Regions from separate parts of the Mus musculus genome. Here regions 1, 2, 3 and 4 are each reported to be linked to region 5. The links are microRNA targets in miRTarBase. Many come from high-throughput screens and were not tested one by one. Region 5 holds a microRNA gene; each other region holds the end of a gene's coding sequence.

Region 1 (4,000 bases), not on the chromosome of region 5:
TCCAGGCTGCAGCCTTTCTCTAGAGTGCTCTCTCTACCTCAGGGTTGCTTGGCTGCTGTGTGGCTGACCTCCACACGCCCTCTCTAGGTCCAATCCCAGGGGATCCAGTGCCTCCCTCTGACCCCTGTGGGCAGCAGACGTGTGCACACTACATACACTGATGTACCTAAAATAAAAATCTAAAAAGTGTCCATGATCTTAAATAAGAACCTCACATAACACCATTTTCTATTCTGAAATAAAATTCAATTGTACTGAGCAAAGAGGCCAAAATAATGTGTACGTCCACAGTGTAATTCCTTGCTAGTGACACTAACTGTCTCCCTGTGCTTTTGTCCTCCCTCAGTACCGCCTGGGACTGACCGCTCAGCCTGAACTCTATCTTCTGAACACCGTGGATGCTGACTCAGTGGTGTCCAGATGACTAACAGCCCAGGAGACCTTAAGAACACTTTCTCTAAGCCCTTTCGGGCCAAGTGCCTGTTAGCAAATCCCTTAGTTCGGAGGTGAGCTTGTTCAAAGGTTTTTGAACAAAGGAGAAGTTCTCCTCACGGACTCAGGGTAAAAGCTGACAGTTGCGTATGGGTCAGAGACCCTTCGGAGGCAGTGGGCCTGTGGCAGCTGTGCAGTCCCTCAGGCTTGTGTCTGCACTTCTGGGGTTTAAAGTGTATCGATATGTATTTATGTGAACCCAAACGTGCCAGTTTGGGTAAGATTTTAAGGTTATAAAACTTGATAGATTTTTACAAATGCCTTTCAGGTGAGTTAGGTCTTTGTTCTATTTGGGTAACAAATGAGAAAGGGACCTTTCTGACGATGAACTTCCCCAAAATAACTCTTGAAGCGCTGCTTTACCACAGTGTGTGTGTGTGTGTGTGTGTGTGTGTGTGTGCGCGCGCGCGTGCCTGCCTGCTTCTGCTTGTGGGGGCCACGGGTTGGCATCAGGTGTCTCCAGTCTCTACCACAGTGTGTGTGTGTGTGTGTGTGTGTGTGTGTGTGTGTGTGTGTGTGTGTGTGCGTGCGCGAGTGCCTGCCTGCTTCTGCTTGTGGGGGCCACGGGTTGGCATCAGGTGTCTCCAGTCTCTCTCTGAACATGGAGTTCAGTGTGTGACTGAGCTAGCCAGCCAGTAAGTTCAAGGATCCTCCTGGCCTCGCGCCCCAACACTGTGGTCCCAGATCAGCTGCTACGCCCAGATTTTACACAGTGCTGGGGACCCAAACTCAGGTCTTCCTGGACAGCAGGTACTTTACCAACTTTCCCCCTTTGTCTCTACATCAAGTGTGTCTGTGGCTGTTGTTCCGTTGGTGTCTGTCCACCTGCCCTTTCTTCCCACTCTACGCGCTGACACTCCACACACTGTCCTCACCCTGTCTCTAAGGGCCGCCCGTATGTGTACCGCTGAGTGTCCTGAGGAATTTAAGCATTTTAAGGTGTGTGTTAGCAGAGGTCTGAGGCTCGCACTCGATGGGAACACAGACCATCAGTTTCACTTTAAGCACCGACACTCCAAACGCGCGTGTGCAGGTAGTGAAGCTTTTTGGTTTTTGCTTTAATCCCAACCAGAAATAATCATCCTTGTTATAATAAAGTTCATGCTTAATAGCTAAAAGCTTTTGTCTAGGGGTGCGACTCATTTGTAGAGCTCTTTGCTTGCCCACCACACACACACACACACACACACACACACACAGGCACTCCTGAACACACAAACGCACACACTCATACTCTAACTGTCTTCTTAGGGAATCAGTTAATCAGTTACAGCACTTGACCTGCGTTCCTACCTGGCAGTACAGTAGACAATACAGCAGGCTAGAACTGAATCATAGCTGCCCACTGTCATTGCCATGTGTGCCCCAGGGGCACACGGCTTATCGGGCACAGGGCCTTCATATTCTTCTTTACTTTTTTGCTCTCTAGGCTCTGAGTCTGTAAACCCCATAGGCTATGTGTGACTTTAAATGTCACATTCATCTTTCAGCATTAAATGTAGAAACAGAGAGATCAGACATTACTCTTTTTGTTTTGTTTGGTTTGGTTTTCTAGGACAGGGTTTCTCTGTGTAGCCCTGGCCGTCCTGGAACTCACTCTGTAGACCAGACCAACCTTAGACTCAGATCCACCTGCCTCTGCCTTGAGTGCTGGATTTAAGGGTGGGAGCCACCACCTCCCAGCTTGCGAGGGCATTTGCTAAATTCACCCTTTACAGCTTCTTCACGTCCACCTTGGGGCCTTTAAAAATTTTTTTTTAATTTTATTTTTTAAAGATTTTATTTAATTTATATGAGTATATTCAGACACGCCAGAAGAGGGCATCAGCTCTCATTACAGATGGTTGTAATGTGGTTGCTGGGAATTGAATCAGGACCTTTGGAAGAACAGTCGGTGCTCTGGACTGCTGAGCCATCTCTCCAGCCCAGGGCTTACCTAGAACTTGTTATGTAGACCAGGCTAGCCTCAGACTTAGAGATCCTCCTGCCTAGCCCCCAAGAGCTGGGGTTGAAAGTGTGCTCAGTTCTGCTTGGCCACAAGGCCACTGAAGACTTAGAACAGCCTTGTAGCCTAGGTCACAGTTCTGACCTTAACAGACAGAAGCAGCAGCAGCTGGGCTGAGCTTCGGTTACCGAAGTCCCTGTGTTTCGGTTTGGTGAAGACCCGTCACAGTCCCAGATGAACCCATTTCTTGTACACCCACCCGACCCTCCACTTCTGTTTCTCAGTACTTCTTTCCCTGGGAGATTATGTGGGAGAAGAAAGACTGAAGACAGAAGCATCCTGTTTTGCGATTCATACAAAGGTGAGGCAGATGAGAGAGGTCAAGAACTCTCAAGGCTTTCTGTAGCTCCTCTCTGCGCTTCCTCTGGGTGCAGGTAGGAACAGAGATAAGATGCCACACATTCACAGGTATCATCTCCCCGAGGCCTCACAGCTTCTTGTCAGCAGAAAGTATAATACATACCAAATCCATTGAAAGATTGACGTCTAAAGAGTGAGCCTTGGTTAAGCTTTATGCCATTAAGAACAAGTATGAACTTTGGCTAGCATTCATGAAACCCTTGATTCAACCCAACACTGAAGAAAAAAAAGGGGGTGGTGGTGGTAATGAGGCCTGTGGTGCGCGCCAGCGTTCCAACACTGGAGAGAGAGCTAAGAGGATCAGAAAGACCAGGCTCACCCTTGGCTTTGTGTCCAGTTAAAAATCCTGCGATTTGATGCTTCTTCTGAACTCTTCAGGCACCAGACATGCATGTGGTACACAAACATACATGCAGACAGAACATACACATTAAAAAAAAAAGCAAAAAAGAAGTCAAAAAATGTTAATGGTGCTGGCAAGATAGCTCAGGAGGTAATTAAATTCACCTGCCACCAGGCCTAATGACCTGAGTTCCATCCCAGAGAACCCCAGGGTGGAGAAAAGCAACTCACAAAATGTCTGATCTCTACGCATGCTGCGGCTCCTGTACACCCGTACATACATGCACAAGTCGTTAAAAGTATAACTTTAACAAAACATTCAGCTTGGGCATGGCGATCTTTGTTATTCAGACGATTGGAGGCTGAGCCAGGAGGATCTCAAAATCAAGGCCAGTTTGGGCCACATGCCAAGATCTTGGTCTTAGGGCACAAGGGACTAGAGAGGTTACTCAGTGGGTAAGAGCACTGGCCACTCCCAGCACCCTCGGGGCAACTCACATCAGTGACTCCAGACCCAGGGAATCCAGTGCCCTCTGGTAGCTTCTTGCATGAGCGCACGCAAAATACCCAAAACAATGAACCAGTAACAATCATAATTTTCTACTATATGGTAACAAGTCTGGGCTTCTGTATATAGTGGCATTATAGAGCAGTATTAATCTGTTTCTTAAAATACCCAAGAACAGGGTACTTTATCAGAAAAGAAGTGTATTTAGCTCACAGTATAGTTCAAAGACATGGGGCTAGCTAGCACTTCTACTGAGGGACTCTTGCCCCATGGTGGATGGTACCAAGTGAGGC
Region 2 (4,000 bases), not on the chromosome of region 5:
ATGGCTTTGTGGGCACAGTCGATGCCCAGTGGAGTCTTCCTCCACTGCCTTATGCCTTACTCCCACTGAACCAGAAGTTTCCTGTCCAAGGACTTCCTAGACCTTTGTTTCTCTGTCCCATAATGCTGGGTTACAGATACACATGGCCATGCTTTTATATGTGGGTTCTAGGATTCGAATTCAGGATTAACCATCTAAAAATCCAGTTCCAGGGGATTTGATACCCTTTTCTGGGCTCTGGTATGCAAGGGGTACACAGACATACATATATAAAACACCTTTTTAAAAAGATTCCTGAATTCAAGGGAATAAAGTGGAGATGATGAGAGACACCTGGTTCAAGGGTTGTTTGTTTTGTTTTGTGGAGGCAGGGTCTTACTGTGTGGATTTGCTTCATGCACTACCATGCATGGCCTTTGATGTGTTTTTGCAGTTTTGTTTTAAGCTCTGAAGACTTGTTTTGTTTGTGGAATAACATTAAGACATTTTTCTTTTCTTTTAGCTTCAAGGTATTGCAGCATGCTGATTGAAGAAGGAGGACTGCAGCATTTGTATAACATCAAAGAACACGAGCAGACAGATCCCTATGTCCAGCAGATTGCTGTGGCCATTCTGGACAGTTTAGAGAAACACATTGTGCGCCATGGAAGGCCCCCTCCCTGTAAAAAGCAGCCCCAGGCCCGGCTGAATTGATAGCCATAGATAGTTGTGTAACGAACAGACAACGGGAAGCATTTTTGTGGTTGGTTCCTTTGGATTAGCGTGCTCTCTGGTGTTTGGGGCGGGGTGGGGGGTGTCTGTGGTAAGAGTCCTGTGATCCATTTGGAATTGGTAATGTACAGTACTGCCCATGTGAACAGTCTGATTTGTTTTGTGATTTTTAACTTATGAGGCAAGAAAGGTCTTCCTTCAATATTGTCTCTTAGGGAATCTCTCTCTCAGTGTTTGAACTTAACTTGTGCTTGAAATTCTACAGTTTCACGGTAAGCTGCACGCACTCTTCCGCAGGCTTCCTTGCAGGTGAGCAAGGCTGCTGACTTGACTTCAGCTCCACCTCGATGTAATTTTATATTGCTCTGTAAAAATGCACCCATTCTCTGTTGCCTTCCCATGATGCCCTTCTTTGTGTGATGAAAGCTGTTGTGTTTCTAGAAGCTTCTTGCTGTCAGGAGCCTGAGTAGCAATCAAAGGAACATAAAAGAAAGACCGTGAAAGGACCGAGTTGAAGGGAATTAGAAATTGCTTTTGTGGTAGAGCTCTGAAAATGGAAAAGGCTCTCCTGGTGTCCCTCTGCTACTTACTCAGTGGAATAGAGTTAAGTTGCTTAGTTAAAATACAATTGACAGAAAATTTGTTGCAAAAATTTAAACTTGAGTTGGGGTGTGGCTCAGTGGTAGAGTATGTTCTTGGAATGTAGGAATTGAATACCCAGCACCACACACAACAAAAAGTTGAATGTTTCTTCTGTTCAAATATGTGTATCTGTCAGGCATAAATGGCTCATGCCTGCAATCTCAACACTCAGGAAACTGAGCAGGAGTAGTGCTGTGAGTTTGAGGCCAGCCTGGGTTAGAGTGACATGTAGTGGATCCTCATTATGTGTTCATGTTAGAAAAAGCTCAAGAGAAGAGTGGGCTACTGCTGCGGCTGCGGCTGGATGGCTACCTGTGGAGTCGGCTGAATAAAAGGAAATGGTTTTGATCGGTTAGTTTTTAGGCAGTTGCCTTTCCTATAAGATAATTGATATATGAAGAATCAGTTATCATCCTATGAACCCGGGAGGCAGCAAGTTAGCAACAAACTTAAATTCCACTATAATTTTAAGTTGGGAATAATTCAGATTTATAATCCAGTAATAGCAAGGATGAGACAGAAGGAACTACAGTTGGAGACCACAGAGTTGCAAGCCAGCCTGGGCTACATGGGAAAGACCCTTTCTCACGAAACAAAACAAATATTTTAAGGGGGTCTTGGTGGCACTTGCCCTTAATTCAAAACACTAAGGAACAGGTGGCTTTCAGGGCCAGCATGGACTAGACAGCAAGAGCCCATCTCAAAACAAACCAGGATGCTCACATCTTGTTTTGTAAATAGGTTTAATCTGAAATCTCTTCTGACCACATTCATACATGTCTCAAATGTTTTCCGTAGTTTTAAAGTAAGTCAGGAATGTTTCAGTTTAGAAAGGAGCTAGATTAAGCTGTGCATCTGAGTGTGCACCTGTACCCTAGTGCATAGAAGACAAAGGTGAGAGGAATATGAGTTCTGAACCAGCCTGGACTATAAAGAGTGACCAGCAAGCTTATTGCTAGTATGCTTTTACCATGTCTGACTCATGTTTCATACTACTGTCACACTCCTTGGACTTGAATGTTTCAGGCTTCCTTTATAAGGACAAATACTGAATCAAACTGAAAGAAAACAGACACATAGAATTATCAAAAAGCCATATAAAACTATGGTTTATTTCTTACTTCATTGGTTCAAGGAATTTTAAGAGCTATACGATACATTTTTACCCAAGATGGTTGCTCAGATTCACCACTGGAGACAAGATTGCCATTCTGAGACTAGCCTGGGCTACCTAGTGATGCTTGTCTCAGCAGCCTCCATCTCAAAAGATGTCTTTTTCATAGTTAAACACATTTGGAAAAAAGAAAATTCTTTCAAAGGAGTAGTTTTTGCTTTTTGTTGACATTTCCCCCTCAATTTTAACGTCTAAGACAAAGTTCTGATAATATGATGTAGTCTACAATAACTAGCAAGCTTGTGGTGTTGATTTGCCAAGCTTACAAAGTACACTTGTGAAATAGTTGAGAACTTTGGCTCCAAGTGTCATGACCAAAGTACATGTGCTATAGGCTATTGCTAACCTTTTACAAAGTTTCAGAAAAATAAGTCAGGTGTGGTAGAGTTCACCTGTAATCCCAGTATTAGCAGCTGCGTAGCAAATTCAGAACCAACGTTTGGTTACCTGATATCCTATCTGGAGAAGCAGAACCAGACAGAAATGGTCAAAAGGTCTACAGAGTGATTGAGAATAACCTGATACATGAAGGCTCAAAACCAATTCAATTTATATTCTCCAGGCCAGTCAGGGCTAGATTGCCCCAAAACAAACAAACAAACAAAACTTAAAAACAAAAGCCCACAAACTCAAAGTGACAGATTGTATCCCAAGTAAATCAAGCTATTAGTGCCCGTGTTTTATTTTTGTTTTTGAGTCTCACCATGTGTAGACCCAAGGCTGTAGTCTATATTGATCTCATTCAGTTGACATTCCTGAGTGAGTGGTAGGATTCCACACATGTGCTACCATGTCTGGCTAAGGGATAGCTCTTGCTTTGTTTTGTTTGTTTTTGTTTTTCCAGACAGGGTTTTTCTGTGTAGTCCTGGCTGTCCTAGAACTCCCTCTGTAAACTAGGCTGGCCTCAAACTCAGAGCTTCCAGAGTGCTGGGATTAAAGCTAAAATGTAGTAAATACATATGTGTATTTATAAATTACGAATGTCCAGCCAGCTTCTACAGGCCTCCCATTTGTAATTGGTTGGTACTTCCAAAGCCACTGGCCTAGTGGTGTGCTTTCAGGCATAGTTTAGACTGACCTGAATGGCCTTGTTGAACTAACTCATCAGTATGCTCAGACACCAGCCATAGGGTCAGGAGTAGCAAGACTTGGATCTGCTGGAAGAAACACATGCACAAGGACCCAGGTTCAGTTCCTGCCAGAGAGGAAACAGAATTATGAGACTTTGTAAGACTGGAGTCGAATAAAGCAAAATATAGATATCAAAGCATCTGGGTTTTGTGTACTGAATATGTTTTTGCCATGGTCTCTGTACTCTGAAGTTTGTTTTCCTTCTGGGTTGAGAGTGCAACTCAGCTCAGTACTGGAGGGAAGCACACCGATTTCAACTCCTACTATCAGAAAAGGAAAAGATGATATTTAATGTTTTCTTTTTTAAGTTATCAATAAAACCATAAATCAAGAATAGGGGCT
Region 3 (4,000 bases), not on the chromosome of region 5:
GACTGGATTTCCTGTCTTCGTGTTATGCAAAACAAGCGACCACCAGCCCTTAGAGGTCAGACCGTGGGTGCCTGTCAGGACGGAAGAGCCAGGTTTCTTTCCTACAACAGTGGAATAGCTCAGGTTGGCTCTGGCTTCCGAAACAATGGGAGGCAAGGCTTCTCCCACAGTGAAGCCCGACCGCAGCCCCCTTCAGAGATGCTTTCTTTCTTTTTTCTTTTGGTTTTTTGAAACAGAGTTTCTCTGTTATAGTCCTGGCTGTCCTGGAACTCACTTTGTAGTGAACTCAGAAATTCGCCTGCCTCTGCCTCCCAAGTGCTGGGATTAAATAAAGGCGTGTGCCACCACTGCCCAGCTTCAGAGATGCTAAAGGAACACTTTGGTAAGGCTCCAAACCTTACCAGCCCATGCGGCAGAATCTCTCTTTGACAGCCTCTCTAATGTGTACTCCCCAAATGGCAAGCAGGACTTTGAGTGCAAAGCCCCAGAAGGCATGAAAAGAAACCTAAACTAGAGTTGGTTGTCAAGGAAAGCAGCTGCCTTCTGCAAACAGTGTAAGGCTGACTGTGGTCTGCCATGAGATTACGGGATCATGGGAGAAAACATCGTGCCCCACACGTTCTTACAAAAGGGGGGCTCTGCAGGGGAGGTGTAAACGTTTGTCCCTCTGTGTAAGTAAGCCTGGAGAGACTCAGAGACAAATAGCAGGACACCATCCCACAGACCCATCTGCGAAGCTCAGTTTTTCCGCCACAGGGACCCTGTGCAACTCTGGGTGAGCTGCAGAGGTGTTTTCACCTGCAGGTCCCCTCAGAGTAGAGCCCAGAGACAATGTGCTGAGGTGGGTGCTCATCTGAGAAACTGGCCCTTGAAGACAGGCACGAACTAAAGGAGAGGTCTTGCTGGATAGTTAACAAGAAGCTGGCATCTGAGTTCAGCCTGACCTTTGACCTTTGGAGCTCCTGAAGTAGCAGGACCTTATTTTTATGCTCATAGTAAAAACAAGTGGAAAATGTGTAACAGTGAGATTGTAGGCAGGGATGACCAAGAAATTCCAGCATGCTAAGGCATGCTAAGTCATCCGGCATGGGTCTTGTCAAGCTTAAGAGGGCTCACTGAAAGCCCAGACTACAGCCACCAAGTCCCGTCTCCCGCTCCTGTACATGGAAAAGTCCACAAGCATGGGTGAAGGATGGGGCGCTACCCACCCAGGACGTGACGCTACCAACACACAGCTACACATCAGACTCCCAGATCTCCAGAGCCTGTCACAGAGGTTCTTCAGTAAAATGTCACCTGGCCAGGGCTGCTCCTTTTAGCCTCAATGGGGCCACATGACCTTGGGTCAGCACACTGCAAACCAGTCTGGAGAAATACCAAGGCAGCGGCAAACCAGAAGGATGGGGCTCTGGGGCTGGGGACACTCGTCAGGGAAGGTGAGGCTGAGAGTCTGCCTTTAATAAAGTGGAAACAAGCTAAGTTTATTAGTGCTAAGTTTAGCACTAATAAAATTGAAGGCTATTATATATTTAAATCTCCCTTAATAGATTTCCATATAACTTTGATAAACACAACACCAACACACACACACACACACACACACACACACACACACAGCATGCTGTTTAACCAGGAACATCCAACTGAAACAGACAAAAGCTGATAGGACATTTTCGCAGGTTTGGTGAACAGGGAAGTGGTCTCTACTTACAATGACAAATTCAACATTCTCATGTCAGAAACCACAACCACAGTCTTCCTCACTGGAGATAAACCTCAGAATGTACCTACATCTCTAAAGTCAATCGCCATGACCCAACAGGTCCGGGAGTAACCGGCTGGCAAGGTCATGCTACTCAGCTTTCACTATGGTCTTCTCCTGGCTCCAAGCTACTAAGGACTACAGCGAGGTCTGGGCGTCCACCAGGAGCCCTCTTGGGCCTGGGAACATTGAGATGCTTAGCCCAGGGATGCTCTGACACTCCCCTGGACAGCTACCAGGAGGGCTTCAGTGAGCTCAGGCGCTCGCTTGCTCTAGCAGACCCTTATGATGCCTGCACCAGGGAGGAGGGCTAACAAGGCTGGGTGGGGCTTAGGGCTCTGGGTTCCTTTTCTCTTTTGTGCAGCTTGAAGGAGGAGGTAAGCAGCTTGCTGAGATTGAAATTAAAAACAGAAGAAAATGGGAGCTGAGGGTGCAGAGCCTTTCAACCCCGGGTATGTGAAGCCACACTGAGACAAACCAGCTGGCATAAACAGCCAGCCTCCCCTCCCCAAGGCAGGAGAAGAGTTCAGGCTGGCTCAGTCCACAGTGCCTTTTAAAAAACCATTTACAGAAAATAGGAATCAAGCCACTTAAGACGTGTAGTCTCTGGGACAAACTGTGTGACCTGGGCAAAGTATTTAACCTCTGTGGTTCCCGGCTTGCTCATCTGTCAGTCAGTACACTCACTCAACTGCCCTTGGTACGTCCGACCTGGTGAAGTTTTACAAAACTCTTTCACACTCTTCTGTGCATCTGACTCTTACAGTAGCTCTATGGACTGGTAGGACCACTAATCCCACTGTATAAACAGAGAGAGAGAAAGAGAGACAGACAGACAGACAGACACTCAGGAGCTGACTGGACCTTCAGGGCCTCACTATGTAGCCTCGCCACCTGCAAGTGCTGGGACTATAGGTGTGTCCCAACTGCCCAAGTCCATTGCTTTTGACATCACAGCACCAGCTGGTTCTAAACTCTTCCCACAATCTCTCGTGTCCTTTCTGCAAAGGGTCTCTGCTATCAACGAGGTAGTGATCTAAGAACATGCCATTAACACTTTCCTAGCGCAAAACACTACTTTCCTAGGGGGTGAAGAACCATCACACAAGAGATTAAACCAGCGCTAGATGTGAGCCTTTTTAAGAAACTCCTCGGGCTGGTGTGTTTCCCTGTGACCTTTGACCTTCCTCCCCTTTCCTTCTCTTATCCACCCACACACAGAGGGTAGGAGAACCTGCCTCATAGTGACAACAGAGGACATAAAGAGTGAGCTTTTTGAATATTTGGGTGTTCTTTTTATTACTGACAGCTGTGAGCCCTGTCTTGTTTACAGGTAAAACTCTGATGAACCGGCTGGGAGTCCTGACTGCTGCATGCGCTGTCAGGATAGGAGTCACCCCCCCCATTCCCCCGCCCCCCCCCCGCCCCGCCCACCGGCGATGCTTTCCCATTGCATTGTGGCGCACTAACCTGCTTTGCCCATTTCCCCTTTCCTCAGTGATCCTTCAGCCTGGTACCCAGCTTTGAGATGAGGCCTGCTTAGCACCAGTGAAGTTCCCCACATTCAAACCAACAACGTTCTGTGTGGAGATGAGGGAGTCAAAGTTAAAATCCAACCCGTCAGCATCCATGAGTTCACTACGGATGATGGACTCCATGTCACATTCCAAGCTCCCATTGAACATGTCCAGGTCCAAGTCACTGGGGAACTTATCGTGGCCCATGACGGGAAGGTTTGCACTAGCTGAATACAGTGAGGAGCCTGAGAGAGAGTCCGAGAGGGTTTGCATAGACTGGCTGGCGGGAGACTGCTGCTGGTGTTTGGCTGAGCCAAGGCTGCTGGAGTCACTCAAGCCCATGTTGCTGACAGAATTTGACAAGGCACGGCTGCCACCAAGAGCGCCCTGGGTTTGGTGCTGGTGGTGGAGCAAGTTCTGATTGACCAAACTCCCCTGGGTAGGCTGGGCAGCAAAGGACATCATTGGATCGTTGCGAAGCATCACGTTCCGGCGGGCATTCTGGGCGGACACGGCGGTGCTAGCCTGAGACATCAAGGGGTCCGACTGGGTCATCATGACGTCGCTGTGGCTGAGTGAGTCTGAAGCAAGCAGGTCTTGGAGTGTCTGGTTGCCGTAGTGTGACACGGAAGAGAAGGTGGCTGGTCTGTTCTCCTGGATAGTCTGCATGGGTGACTGACGCAAGGAGTTCAGAGACGAAGGTCCAAACACGGTACTGTTG
Region 4 (4,000 bases), not on the chromosome of region 5:
CAAGAGTAGGAAGGAACACAACCCGTTGGGCGGAGTTTGGGACTCCCCACCCCCACCCCCCGCCCCCAAAACCAATTAGGACCCTGCTGCTTCTCCAGCTTGCTTTGTACCCCTTTAATGAGTGGCACACCGGGCAGTTTGCAATGAGTCTGAGTCTAGACACCAAACATCAGTGGTCAGACTTTAAAGAGATACTTTGGCCTGAAGGTTACTTCATGTTGTCTTTCCCAAAAGAGTCTTTGAGCTCAGCCCCAACTGATTTAGAGCCGGGAAATGTGATTTTAAACAATACATTTGCTGTAAAGTTCAGGTGATGTTTGCTTTCTTTATACGTGGGGATGTTTTTCAGATTTCCCACAAAAAGATAAAAAAAAACCATATATTCATTATAATTTGCAGGAAAACCTAAAATAGAATATAAAAAGTATGGCGATAAAATGAGAGGCCTTTTTTCCTGTTTGTACACATGGGTTTGTGAGAGAATATTCAGCGTTTTCCTCAGACCCTTACAGATCAGCTGGATGCTTCTGTTGAGGGCAAAGACCATTTCCTGCAAGGAGCAGAGGGAGGGAGCAGAACTTTATCTGGTGGACCCACACCTAAGGAAGTCCTTTGGCAGGTTAGAGGAGAGAGGGGCATCCTAGAGGATGCACTTGGCATATCCTCCAGGGTCTTAACTCTTCTAAAACAAGTTAAATTAAAAGGGGAGGTGGTGAGTTGCCCAAGGCAACCATGAGCCCGCACAGGTACCAGAACCTTGATTGTTAATGCTGCTTTCGGACCTGCTACTGAAAGAACATCCATAGATCTTGGAGTATATCTATCTATGGGAACTATAAAATTGAGCAATGGCTGGAAACCAGGCACTGAATAAAACATAAGGTGGTCGACTTTATTACCTCAGATATGCAAAGTCTGGCTAGGTAATTAGACAAATTCCCATCTCCATGAATAGCTCTCACGGCCTTCTCAGACATGGAGGTGAGACCTGAATTTTTTTTTTTTTTTAACAGTCTTCAGTTGTACAAAGGACAATTGCACAGAAGGTGTTGTCGTCACGCTGAGACTAAGGAGAGAGCTGGGACAAATGAAAGAAGCAGGAGAGGTTTAGGTCAGAGGTTTAGGTCGGGCATCCACAAGAGCGTGCCCCGCACCCCAGGCTTGTCAGTTAGTCCATTTGCATGGATTGCTAGGAATGAGGCTGAAGCTAAGCGTTCAATCCAGTCAGAGTGTGGGAAACAACAGAGACAGGAGCCGAGATCATGCCAATTTAGAAATAATAGCTCATAAATGAGAAATGAGATAACCTTGGAACTTAACTAACTTGAAATGACCTGCAACCAGGAGAGAAGAGTAGGCTTTATTCAAGATGGCAGGATAGGAGAGTTGGGAATAGTTCCTTGTGAGGAGTCTTTAAATAATTCTTTCCATTGTTTCATGAACATTCCATTCAGAAAGTTATAATTGTCTCATATAACTTGTCAAAAGTCCTTCTCTCACTGAATCCAGTCTTACTAGTAACAGTACATTAGCTACCAGCTTAGTGCAGCATAGTAAGGGGTGGGGGTGGGGTACCAAGAATATGGTCGACAGCAACTAGTGGAATTGAAATGAAGACCAATCATAGACTTTGGAGATCTCTTCCATCCCAGAATTCTTTCACTTTTGATACATAAATATAGGAGAAAATTCCAAGAGCTGTTTCTTTGCAGATTTTAGGTTGAACTATGTGAAATTGCTGGTTTTAAAAATATAGATCAAAACAGTCAAATATCAGCCATTTCATAGAATTCAACCTAATACAACAATTGTCCATGCTCTCTCCATCTTCCATAAAGTGAAAGGCTTTAAAAGTATTTAGTTTTTAGGCCAGAATATTAATGTACAAATAAGTGCCTCCCCAAGGCTGGGATTAAAGCCACTTGCAGGCAGCTAGTCTGTCCCTCTTAAGATTGGACACCTGTGCCTCTGGTCTGACTCGGAGATCTGTCAGAACAGGGAACAAAAGTGCAAAGACTCCTGGGAAATTTCATTGGGGGTGGGGGGAAGGGTCAAAGGAAGGACAGGAGGAAATAAAACAGGATTTGTAGCATATTACAAGTTCGTGGGAAAAGAGCGCAGCAGAGCCATGAGCAGAACAACACAGCGTGTGGCTCCCTCTTTTCTAAAATACAGTATTGCTTAATGTGTCCCGTTCTCGAGAGTCCAAGCATAAGACAGGACACAGAATACACATTGGAAAAGTCATATCTGCATAGTCATCTAAAATGAGACAAGCTAAGCTTAACTAAAACATCTTTTTTCATTAATAATGTAAAATGTTAAATAGTTTTATGATCTGAGCTAATTCCAGCATGCCCTATAAGATTTAACACTATGCTGATGTGTGGACCCATGCTTCAGGTTTCAATTCAAACAAAATGTGATAATATTGAATTTTACATCTGAGGGTAATTGTTTATGCTACTACATCATTTCTTAACCGGATAACTTCATTTCCCAAGAAGCTTAAAAAGACACCATTGGATTAAAAGAAAGTTAGCTACCCATATGCATTGTTTGAAGATAGTAGGATTACTGTGTATTTACAAAATGTATTTTTCATATATGACTCTGTTGCATTATAAATTAAGATGTTCTGATGTTGATACTTAGCGATTCTGACAGAATGGAAGACTAAATGGAAATGAGTGCAGAGACAGCAACGCGTGAGGTGGCGTGTGTTTGGTTATAATATTTCTAATGATACTCATAGATTGGATTCTTGAACAGTTTTGCTGTTTTAAATAGATTTCTATATTTAGAGACATCTTTTATATCCGATAAATCGTTAACATGATATCAGCAAGAGTTACAGATATACTATTATATGTGAAATAATTTTCTGTATAATACATTTTTAAAAAACCTTTAAATAATTTAAAAATCAAATTTCTTGCATCTGTCACGGCATGGTTCAGAGCAGACATGCACAATGTCAACTTTTTAAAACTCCCTTTAAAAACAGGCTGCACCTCTTTGAATCTGTTCTTTCTTTCTTCCTTCCTTCCTTCCTTCCTTCCTTCCTTTCTTTCTTTCTTTCTTTCTTTCTTTCTTTCTTTCTTTCTTTCTTTCTTTCTTTCTTTCTTTCTTTCTCTTTTCCTTGATGGCAGCTGCTTTCAAGTGTGAAATCATTTAAAATGGCAGGGAGAGGCAGATAAAAGTAACAAGGGAGCATAGAAAACATGGTCAAAACCGGTCTCGGTGTTCCGCGGTGTGGAGGTCTTACGGTTCTGTGGTGTTTCTCAGGTGATCTTGGCGGTGAGTTTCCGGGGAAGCCACCTAGCTTGAGACAAGACAACATAAGCCGAAGAACCTTCTCTTCCGTCTTCTGACCATGGGGTAGGGCGTTAGATTCAGAAGGCTGCTGTCATCTGTGGTGGGACACAGTGTGCACAGGAGTGAGTTACAGACAAAGTAACCTGCTCGTTATGAAGTGGGCTTAAAACGCCATCATCCTGTCTGTCCCATTTTAAACCTCAGCTACACTGGACTAGATAATGCTGTGTTGTGGGAGGCTATCTCAAGCATCAGAAGACTTCATTAACCGTTTGTTGTTAGAAGAAACCCCCTCCCCCAGTACCCCCTTCTACCCCAATGAAGGACTTCATCAGTGTCCCTGGCCTTCACTAGGTACAACCAGAGGCATTCCCAGATCTTTCCAAATGTGGCCTGGGACAAAACACTCCAAGACTGACAGTCACTAGCTAATTAAATTGAAACTGCTCAAGACAGCCTTTCAGTTGGGAGAGGTTGCAAACATCTTCATAGAAACAATCCACTTCCCAGGAGACTTGTCTTGTCTTCTAAGCCCTCCTTCTGTGACCCTCATCTGTCACTCAACCTCACTAAACTCTGATGCCCCTAAGTGAACATTCAAAACTAATAGGGAATGATGATGCTTACCATAAGTGAAGATGAAATGAAATACTTAAAAGCAGCTCACTCTGATGGCAGCCGA
Region 5 (4,697 bases):
CCCCCCCCATTGTCTAATTTCATGAAAAAGTACTGTCATTAACCTAATAACTGAGTCTTACAATTGAGGAAACAGGCACAGAAAGGCTAAGTACCTTACTCAAAATTGGATGATTCAGACTCAAAAGCCCCATATTCTTGTCTGTTGTCATCATCCCCCCCCCCTTTGAGACACGAATCTCATATTTATCTCATATTTATTGTCTAGGCTCCTGAGCAACTGGGACTGCAGGTATACACTGCAGCTCCTGGTTTTGGTTGGTCTTTCTGCTGTCCAGTAAAAAGCAAGCAAAAACTACCGCTCTCTATAGGCTAAATGCCCAACCTGGGCTTCTGCTTTCTAATGTGTAAAGTTGGGAAAGAAGGCATGGTTTACACTAAATGTTTTCTAGGACAACGAACACTCAAAGCATTATATAGTCAACCTTCTAACCACATCTTCTGATGGGTTCCATCTGCAAAAGGTCCTCTTTTCTTTTTTTCTTTTTTCTTTTTTTTTTTTTTTTTTTTTTTTTTTTTTTTTTTGGTTTTTTTCGAGACGACAGGGCTTCTCTGTATAGCCCTGGCTGTCCTGGAACTCACTTTGTAGACCAGGCTGGCCTCGAACTCAGAAATCTGCCTGTCTCTGCCTCCCGAGTGCTGGGAATAAAGGCGTGCGCCACCACTGTCCGGCTGTCCTCTTTTCAAATTATCCCTGCTATTTGTTTTCTGCATCTTGATTACACTCAGGATTTCTACCCTATCAGACAGAGTCTCTCAACAGCCCTAGCCACAGAGAGTATTTACGTGCAGTCTCTGTGGTTGTACTCCTTTTGGGGGCACGTTTGAAGATCTCAAGTTGGGATGCATTACTTACAGACCAGTTGAGGGAAGACTGCTGGCTGATACCTTCAGACAATGAATTAGGGGCCAGGTGAATTTCACTAGCCTGCCAGCTTCTTGCTGTGTTAAGGACCCTTTTAATGATGGCCCAGGAGAAAGTTGGGGGACAGAGTTATGGCTCTATCAGGAAAGGGATTCTTTGCCCTTTCCCCTCTACCTGCTCACCTAGGGTTTTCTGGAAGAAAGGTGTGATAAAACTTCCTTCTCCTCCCCCTTCAGCTTTCTGCTGGCAAAAGTGACTTCTTCCTTCTCACAGGACTCCTGATCCCATCGGTTCACCACTCATGAGATAAGAATCCTTATCGCAGAACCACCCATTTTCTCGCCACCTTAGGCAGCGATACCTCGACTAGGAAGACAGGAGAGTCTCTGAGGAGGATGTTCAGACACTCCGCGGATCTTGCTTCTGCACCGAGGTAGATGCACAGCAGCCTGAAAGGCCGCCTTTCTGAGCACACCTCTTGCCACCTCCGCAGACACATCGAATGTTGCGTCGCCGCCCCGCCTCCTCTTGCTCTGTATCTGCCCAAACCCAGGCTGGCAGAACTCGGGAGTGGTGGGGAGCGTGGGCGTGCTGCGGGGCGACCATGGCTGTAGACTGTTACCTCCGGTTCCCACAGTAACAATCGAAAGCCACGGTTGCCCTGGAGACGCGGGGGCGGGGCTTGCAGGCTGACGTCAGCACCGCGGGCGGCGGGGGTGGCGCGAGTGTCTGCGGGGCCTGCGCCCACCGCAACCCACAGGGACCTTGAACAGGCGTGCCCGAGGGAGGCGCTTGCACTGCATCAGCACCGCGGACAGCGGCGCAGGGAGGCGTGGAGGGGCCGGGGGTCGGCGGTCCTGGGGCGGGGCCAGGCGTCGGTGGCCGTGACTGGAGACTGTTACTGAAGGCGGCCCGGGCAGTAAGCAGTCTAGAGCCAAGGTGCCGGCGCGCTGCCCGGGCGGGGATATCCCGTCGCCCGCAGTTGAGAGTGCTGCTGCTTCTCAGGCCCCCCCACCTCCTCCCAAGCGCGCGCGGACAGACACGCGACCGTGACGTCAGAGTCCTGTGACGTCAAAGATGTCCCAGCGGGGAGGCATTTCCGGCGGTGGGGAGCGGTGGGGGTAGGGCGGGGCGGCCTGATCGAAGCCCCGCCCCCGCCTGGTCCTGAGAGGACAGCTCCGCTTGCAGAGGCGGGAAGTCCTGAGCTCAGTGGGACAGTCCGATGGGACGGGACGGGACCGGACGGGAAGGGACGGGACAGGGAAGGGGCGTGTGTGGAGCATGCAGGACGGGGGTCCCAAGAAAGCCGCAGGGCCGAGGTGTGCGTCTGTCTGTCGTGGGCGCCCTGGCTCAGTCAGTCGGGGCCATCTAGGCTGAGTCACCGCTCTGCGGACAGGGGAGAAATGAGGGGGCGCGTCTCCTGAGACGCCAGCACCTTCTCCCCACTTTCTTGAAAGGATGGCGCAGGAGCTGCTCAGCCTCGGGAAATGGGGTCGGGGGCTCGGCTCTCCGCTTGATGTTTCTCCATAGTGTCTGCGTCTGCATTTGGGTGCCGGCAGGTGCTGCATAGGGTTGGGTCAGCCGCCGGCCCCTGGTCCACCAAGCTGAAAGGAACCTTCGTCCCTCCCACTCTGCCCCCCATCCTCACTCCGGAGTCCCCCTCCAACCCGCCGCCCCTCCGGTCCCCTCCTCGCCTTCCCATGGCGTCCGCGCATCTGCCCATCTCCGACTGTTGGTGGTCCTTACCTGTCGGGCCGCGTCGCACCAGTGCCGGCTTGCCTCCCGCAGCCCGGCCGGCGCCGCCGCTTTTATAGGCGCGCGTAGTACTCGTGCGGCGGCTCATTCATGCGGCCGCGGCTCCTACACACTGACGCGCTGCCGACGTCAGCAGAGAATTTAGGAAACGGGAAAAGAGGCTATTTATAGTGGCAAGCGGGGAGGGGGGGCGTAGGGGAGGGCGGGACGAAGCGACAGGGAGTTGGAGCGGGAGGAGGGTGCGCACGCGGAAGCAGGGTTGGGTAGGGGAGTACGTAACCCCAGGCTTGGCCTCCAAGGGGTTAACTTTCCGGAACTGCAGGCGACGGGCTGGGGGAGAATAGTGCAGGGAGGGTGAGGCCCCGTTCTGTGTTTATTCACTCTCCCCTTCCGGGGCTTTGCGAGTCCTAGGATCTCAGTTCTTTTCTCCTGGACCGCAGGGGTCCTCCCTTGGCAGCCCCAAACCACACTGCTCATTCCCTAGACCCTACAGTCCTCTGACGCCAGAAGATGCCCCGCGATGGTATCACTCCCATTTGGCCACCGTGGTATCCTCGCTCTCTCCTGGTGTGTGTGTGGGGGGGGGGTGGGGGGTGAGGCAAGAAACTGGACCGGTTTAGGAGGGGAGTAGAGTGCACCTCGGACTTTGACATCTAGGAGCTGGGGAAAGAGGGGTGGAGAAGCCTGGGAGTTTTGGAAGGCTTCTTGACTGGGTCACAGGAGGAAAGGTACCGGTCAGATGGTGGAAACCGCAGAGAAGATCAGGGAGTCTAAGGAGAGTGGTCTGGACTTTAGAAATGAGCAGAAGATCTTCTGTAAGAGTTTGGAAAATCCCTGTACGGAGTATCCACAAAAGGAAGGGCTAGCCTGACAAGTACTGGAGAGCCAACTTGGCAGTGCCCCAGGGGGCACGAGGGGGCCACCTCAGTGGGGTGGAATAGGCATAGGCAGAGCCTGTAAGAGAGAAAATGAGACTAAGGGGGCTCAATAGCTTGGCAGAGGGTGTGTGTAGCTGGGACTCCTTTCTAAAGGAGTCAGAATAGACTAAAGGCAAATACGATATGGAACAGGTCCTCCAAAACAGCCCGATTCTGTCTCCGGGCTCTAAATGGGGTCGTCATGCGTTCACGGAGAGGAGGAAGCTGCACCAGGATGACCAGAGGAGCTCAGGAAGAAGGGGAAAGCAAAGTTAAGAGGAGGGGCATGGTGGTGCGCATCCTTGTACGTGGGAAGTAGACGCCTTTGTGAGTTCGAGGCTAGCCGTAGACTTGAAACTGTGGTGGTGGTGGTGGTGGGGCGTGGAGGAGAGGAGAGGAGAGAAGGGGAGGGGAGGGGAGGGGAGTACACAGTGAAACTTGGGCAAGGTTTATGTGGTTGGCCCCATAGCGATACAACAAGGGCTTGAGTCGGTGGAGAGGGATAGAACAAGAAGGAACTGAAGACCCAGCCGACCTCCTTATGGGTCAACCAGCGGATAAACTCCATTGTGTAAAACACATACAGAGCTTTCTCTCCAGACTCGCACGATCTAACCCCATTAAAAGGAGAAAACATTTAAAACAGAGACATCAGAGACACCCTTGCTTGTGGGAGAACTCAGAGTTGTCAAAACTCATCCCTAAGAGCACTTCTGGGGAGCCTTCTTATCCTCAAACGCTCCGTTACACTTCCGCTTCAGCCCCAAGGCGTATCCCTCGACAGAGATACCAAGGTACCTCTTCACTTCTCCTAGAGCTCAGAAATTGTGGAGTCCACCGTGGGACTGCAGTGTTTGTCTTGTATGGACACTGTACGGAGATACGAAGTAGTAAGTGGATTAGATGGAGGCGGAGCACACTGTCGCGGAAACCTGGTGAGCCTTGAAGACTCTTTGGACCAGAAGCCTAGGCCAGGCATAGAAGTCTCCTGCCAAAGAAACGCAGCCTCTAGGAGGCGCCCAAGACCTTGGTGTCTCACTGGTACAGCTAGAGGCCCGGCCGGCTGCCCCGGGCGAGTGACTCAGCCACTACCTCAAGCGGGGGAGTGGGGGCTCGAAGACAGCGTGGGGTGCGGCGAGCGTAGCCCCCACCCGCCCTGCG

Evidence for each region. Region 5 holds the annotated microRNA mmu-miR-132-3p (UAACAGUCUACAGCCAUGGUCG, at 1,464-1,485, opposite strand). A microRNA usually pairs through its seed, bases 2 to 8, with sites in the 3' UTR of a target mRNA and lowers its output. Matches are read on the target gene's strand: a 7mer-m8 pairs with bases 2 to 8, a 7mer-A1 pairs with bases 2 to 7 and ends in A, and an 8mer does both.
Region 1: miRTarBase lists Slc11a2 as a target of mmu-miR-132-3p. The part of its 3' UTR that is shown has no 7-base or 8-base seed match.
Region 2: miRTarBase lists Zyg11b as a target of mmu-miR-132-3p. The part of its 3' UTR that is shown has no 7-base or 8-base seed match.
Region 3: miRTarBase lists Foxo3 as a target of mmu-miR-132-3p. The part of its 3' UTR that is shown has no 7-base or 8-base seed match.
Region 4: miRTarBase lists Rgs7bp as a target of mmu-miR-132-3p. Seed matches in the 3' UTR shown: 7mer-m8 at 1,762-1,768, 7mer-A1 at 1,519-1,525 and 8mer at 1,008-1,015.

What each region holds. Positions count from the first base shown.
Region 1 is chr15:100,385,508-100,389,507 of GRCm38, reverse strand. It overlaps Slc11a2 (solute carrier family 11 (proton-coupled divalent metal ion transporters), member 2), which reads left to right. Exons shown (of 17, transcript NM_008732.2): 17 at 347-1,610. The coding sequence ends at 424. Among named protein-coding and RNA genes, the nearest start is that of Higd1c, 23 kb to the right of the region's middle.
Region 2 is chr4:108,232,697-108,236,696 of GRCm38, reverse strand. It overlaps Zyg11b (zyg-ll family member B, cell cycle regulator), which reads left to right. Exons shown (of 14, transcript NM_001033634.3): 14 at 503-4,000. The coding sequence ends at 693. Among named protein-coding and RNA genes, the nearest start is that of Zyg11a, 17 kb to the right of the region's middle.
Region 3 is chr10:42,193,234-42,197,233 of GRCm38, forward strand. It overlaps Foxo3 (forkhead box O3), which reads right to left. Exons shown (of 4, transcript NM_001376967.1): 3 at 3,233-4,000. The coding sequence ends at 3,268. Among named protein-coding and RNA genes, the nearest start is that of Gm38485, 80 kb to the right of the region's middle.
Region 4 is chr13:104,948,170-104,952,169 of GRCm38, forward strand. It overlaps Rgs7bp (regulator of G-protein signalling 7 binding protein), which reads right to left. Exons shown (of 6, transcript NM_029879.2): 6 at 1-3,413. The coding sequence ends at 3,322. Among named protein-coding and RNA genes, the nearest start is that of Gm41048, 35 kb to the left of the region's middle.
Region 5 is chr11:75,170,511-75,175,207 of GRCm38, reverse strand. Mir132 (microRNA 132) reads right to left here and starts at 1,526; the gene lies at 1,461-1,526. Mir212 (microRNA 212) reads right to left here and starts at 1,820; the gene lies at 1,730-1,820.